Linked DNA regions of Mus musculus: region 1 is reported to be linked to region 2. Evidence: microRNA targets listed by miRTarBase, many of them from high-throughput screens and not tested one by one. Region 2 holds a microRNA gene; the other region holds the end of a gene's coding sequence.

The links. The annotated mature microRNA mmu-miR-1843a-5p reads UAUGGAGGUCUCUGUCUGACU and lies in region 2 at 1,449-1,469, shown strand. An mRNA with a match to its seed (bases 2 to 7 or 8) in the 3' UTR can be bound and repressed. Matches are read on the target gene's strand: a 7mer-m8 pairs with bases 2 to 8, a 7mer-A1 pairs with bases 2 to 7 and ends in A, and an 8mer does both.
Region 1: miRTarBase lists Rnf169 as a target of mmu-miR-1843a-5p. Seed matches in the 3' UTR shown: 7mer-A1 at 2,156-2,162 and 7mer-A1 at 1,855-1,861.

Annotation. Positions count from the first base shown.
Region 1 is chr7:99,922,154-99,925,865 of GRCm38, forward strand. Rnf169 (ring finger protein 169) reads right to left here. Exons shown (of 6, transcript NM_175388.3): 6 at 1-3,712. The coding sequence ends at 3,149. Among named protein-coding and RNA genes, the nearest start is that of Gm5115, 8.9 kb to the right of the region's middle.
Region 2 is chr12:80,390,123-80,393,122 of GRCm38, reverse strand. It overlaps Mir1843a (microRNA 1843a), which reads left to right and starts at 1,446; the gene lies at 1,446-1,510. The region is part of intron 5 of Dcaf5 (DDB1 and CUL4 associated factor 5); the gene reads left to right. It also overlaps Scarna3b.

The DNA.
Region 1 (3,712 bases), not on the chromosome of region 2:
CATGGATATACTCTTGGGTCAAGCGCATCCATGCACACTGCACTACACATGGCCCAGCACAGGGTGGCAGGTCTAAGAGCTCAGAAGTGCCTTCTGAATGAACACAGCCTCCCTCACTAGCCTCCCATTTTAGTCAGTGGCCAGTTTGTAATCAGACAATAACTAAATAGCTTTAATTTTTGAGGGGCATTTTACCTTAAAAAAAAAAAAGACTTAAAAAAAAAAAGTACTTCTTCCATAATCAAAGAATTTTTTTTTAAATAAATGAGGTCAGTTAGGAAGGATTTCTAGTCAAGTCTCAGGCAGACTTTTTTCTTTCTTTCTTTTCTTTTATTTAAAGAGGCAACTAAGGGCCCGAGGCCAGAGGCTGGGTGCTGGCAGAGTACTAAGGGCCCGAGGCCAGAAGCTGGGTGCTGGCAGAGTACTTCCCGACTTGATACCAGCACATCAGGCCCAGATGATTTAGATGACTTCTTCAAACAGGTATAAGGGTTCCCCTCTAGAGAAGGGCTACCAAGCCCTCTTGAGGCATAGCACATCTCTTGGATTCCCCATCAGAAAGACTTAGCCTCCTGTCTCTCCTAGTTTCCTCTTTGCACACACACTAAGGAGCACAGCAGAATGTGGGCAGTGTGCAGGTCGCTAGGACTGCAGTGACTGCAGCTAGTTCTAGCTGTAAAAGGATGTCTTCCACTCAAGCTCACCAGCCTCCCAAGCGTTCTCTTCCCTGGTCCATTTTCTCCTATGGGATCCCCATCAGCAACTGTAGCTGCAATGGACTTCAGTCAAACACCAAGATGGGGAATTCTCAGAAATGAAGTGTTCAGGTTTCACTGAGTTTGAGAGCATCTTGTATGCAGATACGTTAGTAGTTTTTCCATTTTCAAGGGTAAGCAAACTAAAGAATAAGCCACGCCTTCCCAACATAAACTGTTTTGCCTCTATTTCAAGGGCCACTGCTCTCAGCAGGAATTATGGGAAAGAACACTGTCTACAGTCCTTGGGGTCTCCCTGGGGGGTGGGGTGGGGTACAGAGGGACAGCCCAGTGTCTGCAACACTCACTCAGCAGCAACAGCACCTGAGCCCACACTTGTTGCCACTGCTGCGCACTCTACTCAAGGTAGTCACTAGGGGCAGGGGAATATTTAAAATATATATCTTTCATCTATTAAAATATTTTATCTTCTTACCAAAACCAAAAATTAATTCCAACTGAAAGTGTTTTTCTAAGCACTAGTGACATATAAAAGGGTGGCAAGTGGAAAAATAAGTGTCTTTAAAGCTACCCAGTAAGCCTAGCCTTCCAATAATAATTACTAAGCTCATAAAGGAAATACATGACTTGGTAGACATTTCTAAGTTTTCTCTAATGGGATTTTCCGGTGTCCGCAGCCGGGGCCAGCTCTCCTCCCTGGGGTGCTGGCCTGCCTTCCCGCAGCCCTGAAAAGCCCTAAGTTGCCTAGGATGGGGAGTAAAGCCGTGTGAGTATAAAGTAATGAGACTATTTCATGTTTTAAAAACACACACACACTCCAGACTCACACAGTTCCTGCCAGAGCAGCCTCTGAAGCCACCTTGCTAATGGCCACCTTACACATCAAACATTCCTGCGAACAGTCAACTATGAGCTGCAGAGAAATTAAGTTCTGTCTGCTTCAAGGGACATAGTGCTTGGGAGTCCACATCCTTCTTCCCACCTTCAGAAGCTTCAACCAGTTTCTGTCTAACTCCAAATCTGAAGTTCTCTCTTCTAGAATTCCCAGAGACTGACATCTCCCTTGGCACAGAAAAGTGAGTCTAAGCTCCAGCTACTTCTAGCTTCGAACGTTTCAGAAGCATTCTGATCAGATGACTATGGAGTATCTTGCTGGGACCTTTTAAAGGGAACAAAAGTGTAAAAGCTCTGGAAGGTTTGTGAAAATGACAGTCACATGACTATGTAACAGCTCACACACACAGGAAAGGCCAGCCCACCTGAGAGTCCCTAAAACCGTATCATAATCCTATTCTCAATAAGCCCAGAAGGGCAGAAGCACCAAGCACCACCAGGGATGCAAAAGACACACGGTGTCAAGCTGCTAAGAAAAATAAACCCCAAAGGTCCATGGGACTGAATTGACCAGCTGCATCCAGCTAGATACCTTGTTTCCACAGTATGGAGTTTCAGCTTTGTCCTTTGCCTGACTTTAGGGAAGTTTTGCCATTGCCATGTGGGAAGTAGTAAGGAAACCTCCCAGTTCGGCCCCAGGCGAGGGCTCCCGGGAGAAGAGGAGCAGTAAGCAGGCAGGGAAGTCACTCCAGTCCTGCTTTCCATCCCGGCAAGGTGAAGTGCTTCTAGGTGGGCTTTGCACTGTCATGTTCAGTCATGGCCCTGGCGTGCCCTAGGCTGTACTTCCTTTGGACACCCTGTGATTGTAGAGAATCCATGGGACTTGTGGCCTGAGAGCCAGTGGTCAGTCTGGGCTAGGCCACCTGGCAGCTAAGAGAACCTGGACATCCAGCTGACAGCACTTAGCAATCAGGTCGCAGGAAGACCAGCGTCAGCCACACTGCTTCAATCAAATGTCATAGTTTAGACAAAGAATGCAAATAATTTCTGTAGAGGTAAAAGTTCTGAGCTCAACTGACTTGGGTATGTAGAAATAACATGTAGCGAAGGGGAGGGAAGATGAATGTGAGCATCTATTTATCTTGGCTCTTCCAAAGTACTGGCACTGCTTGTCTCTGAAAAGAATCCATGTTTATCTGCAAGGCTAACTTAAACACCACTCTGTGGGAAGAAGCCAGGGGCTTTATGAGTGTGAGAAGGTATCCATCCCATCTCCCTACCATCTCTAACACTGGCCCTCACATTCATGAATGAGGGCCACTCCCAAGCTCACTCCAAGTGGGTACTGCCAGATTTGGGCCCAGAAGCCTTCAGAGTTGGCTCACTCAAAGAGTGAGGAGTACTGGCCCTGGTCCTAGAAAGCCAAAGATGCCGACACTTGGCTTTTGAATACCAAGGCTCTGGATCCTCTCAGAACCATAGCAGACAGTGGTTTGCCATTGAGAGAAACTCAAAATGAGAACATTCAGCTAGCTCTTTTGGATAAATGACAGGTCAAGGACCTCTGAAGCAGGTAACATTATTCTATACATCAAGTGCTACTTGGCCCCAGCCAAGCTGCTGGACCTCAAGAGATACTGATCTACGCTTCCTTTTCGCCGGCTCATAGTCCGCCTCTCACTGTCAAACATGCGATGTGACTGCAGAGCCAGCTGCTGGTCCTCTTCCTCCTGCTGCAATTTCCGCCCCACCTCAAGCAGCCCTGGGTCCTTGGGGGCCAGATCCATGTCACTGCTCGGTGGTCGCAGTTTTTTAACACCGTTTTGTTCCAAGTGCTTGGTCTTACAGCGCCTTTTCCGGCCTCTGCGCAGGGAAGGAATCGGCTCCTCTCCTAGGCTGTTGACCAGAATGCCATTACCCAGATCAAAATGATTGAGTGTCTTCAGTTGTTGTTTTGTTTTGAGGACCCCACCCAAAACATCATTTTTGGGTAGCAGTGAATTAACCGCTGCAGTCTTCATGACTGTGCTTATGCAAGTTTTGACTAATGTGGCGTCCACGGTGGACCCTGACTCCTCACACTGCTCCCGTTCCAGAGAAGGCCCACTGGAGGCTCCTCCGTGCTCCGAGGAATGGCAGGTTTCCAGTGAGAACTCACGGCT
Region 2 (3,000 bases):
CAACCTTATTTATAATAGCCAGGAGCCGGAAAGAACCCAGATGTCCTTCAACAGAGAAATGGATACAGAAAATGTGCTACATTTACACAATGGAGTACAACTCAGCTATTAAAAACAATGAATTCATGAAATTCTTAGGCAAATGGATAGAACTAGAAAAAAATTACTAAATTTGATTTCTTAAAATTAAAGACCTCTGTTCATCAAAGACGGTATGACATCTGTGAAAAGATAAGCCAAGGACAAGTACTTGTAATTTGTAATGTATATATTGAATAAGAATTTATAGCCAGAGTATATAAAAAAGTATGATCTATGAAAGATAGAATTCCATTTTAAAGTAATTTTAATTTTTTAATCCTTCTATGTGTGTCTGGTGTCCCAAGAGGTCAGCAGAATGTGTAGGACTCCCTAGAAAATGGAGTTACAGATAGTTGTAAGCTGTGGGTACTGGGAATGTAACCCAGGACCTCTGGAAAGGCAACCCCAGGAATTAAAGGTCATCTTTACCTGAATGGCCAGCCTGAAGTTAATGAGAGTTAAAAAAGGAAGGAAGAAAAGTAAGGAAGCTTTTCAACTTCATTACTCATGAGGTAACTGAAAATGATTGGAATTGTTCCAGTGGAAAAGACTGATAGTGTTGACCGGGATGTGAGACTAAGGAAGCCATCCTGCTTTATACTTTCGGCAACTCTAAATAGGTACTGCCGTCAGGGGAAGCGGTCAGTGTCTGCTGAGGCTAAAGGTATGGCCTTTATAACATTTTGAGCCTCACTCTCAGATCTCCCTAAGAGATGCAATTGTGTTTCCACTGGGGATAAGTAAATACAGGAGTATGGCGACTGCTTTACTTAGTGTAGCCAAAAGCTGACACAAGCCTAATGTCCACTAAAGGACAGTGGATAGCAGAGCGGACAGTGGCCATGTAGTAAAACACTGGGCAAACATTAAAAGAACACCTTGATGCTCTCACACATGTAGATGTGCATGAGCCTCATGGCTAGAATTTTGAGTGAAAGAAGACAGCCACAGAGGAACCTGTCTTCTATGATTCCGTTTGTGTGGTGTTTAAGGACAGGCAGATTATAGGTGTTAGAATAGTGGTATCCCAGGGTAAGATATTGACCAAGCTTGAAATCATGTCTTGATCTGGTGTGGTTCATTGGTGTATACTTTTGAAATAACATATTCAACTAGGTACATGTAGAGTTAATACATAGTAGTGTATCATGTTAACTGCTGTGTTTGAATGTGTGGTGCTGAGGATCAACTCCAGGGTATCACACTACATAGACATGCGAAAGAGGTATATCTCTAGCCTATCTAAGGGACAATAAGTTTGGTCAATAAGTTTGACCAAAAGGAATTCAAACTGGAAGCTGCAAAACCAACCATGTAGACAAAGGAGAAAATGCCTTTGTTTGCAGAAGGCAGCGGTCCTACATGAATATGGAGGTCTCTGTCTGACTTAGAATAGCTGGCTGAGTCTGATCGTTCACCTCCATACAACCTTAGACTCTCACTCTACTTACTGATTTCCTTATTAGTTTGTTTAGGATCTCTGCTGATTAAATGTACTATCTTACAAAAAGGAAATAAACTGAAGTTACTACTCTGTTAGGAAAATAAGTGGAAGACTATTACTTCATTGAGTATTTACCTTATTCCCTGTGAGTCCAGTGCTCACAACAGCCTCATTAACTGTGTAGAGAGCTGATGAAGGGACAAAGAGAGATCAGGATTAGGAGGACCCAGGAGCTTAGATGGAACAGTAGAAAAAAAACAGCAAAGAGCAGACCTCCTCATCGAATAGCTCTACTTAGGGGCTAGCTAGTCAGCTCCTCTTCCTTTTCCTTCCCTCTCTTCCCTAGTCCTTCTGTCTTCCCTTCTCTTCTTTGTATTTTGAGACAAATATCACTGTGGAGCCCAAGGTAGCCTCAATATCTGGCCGTCCTCCTGTGCCATCTTCCCAAGTGCTCACTACAAGAGTGGCCCCCACACTTAGCTAGCCGGTCTCTTCCCCTTCTCCTCTTTCCTACCTACTGGCACATTTGTTAAACGCCTGCTTTCTCCCCAGCGCTCTGTTCTATTCTCCATTGCTTTTCTTAATGCCGTCCTCACTCCTACAGTTTTTCTGGGTGAAATCCTGGAGCCCCGCATAGGTTTCCTTGCTCTAATCGTGCCTGGCACCTCAAGTTCCAGCAGCCTCTCCGTCATAGCTGTCACCTCCTTCCCATAGTTGCTGTCCACACTGCCTCTTTACTTGGAATTTTGTATTTAGAGCAGCAGATTCTTAAACAATTTTTGCTGTTGTCTTATAGCTCGTTGGGGTTATCTTTGTTCATATTTATATACCCAGAACATATATTGTGTATGATGCTATAAAAATTTAAATAATTTTTAATCAATAACCTATTTCACTAGATTGAAAAATAAAAGAAGAACTGCTTAAGCAGCCTGTCCTTCTGTGCAGTCTCTCTTCTTCTAGATACAACACAAGGATTTGTCCTCTTTTCTTTTGATTTATTAAAACTTTTGTTGTATACGTATGCGTATTCGTTTGCATCTGCATCATGTGTGTGCCTAGTGCCTGTAGAGACCAGAAGAGGTCATTGGATCTCCTGGAACTAGATTTACTGGTGTTATGAGCCATCATGTGGATGTTGGAAATCAAATTTAGGTCCTCCATAAAAGCAGCCTGTGGCTCTTAAGTTCTGACCCATCTCTCCATCCCCCTTTTTCTGATTTTTGTTACAGGGCCTTGTTTTGTAACACAGACTGGCCTGGAACTCATGGTGCCCCAGCCTCCCAAGTACTAGAACTACAGTTGTCCTAGTGTACACCGCTCTCCTTGTTGTTCATCTGCTCAATTCCTAGCTACCCGAGGAAACTCCCTCACTAGACCTCCCTGGCAGATCTTTAAAAGCTTGCCCCTTGTGTTCTTAGCACCTACCATGGCGTTGCCACAAAATATGTATCTAGTGAGTCAAATTTCCTCTT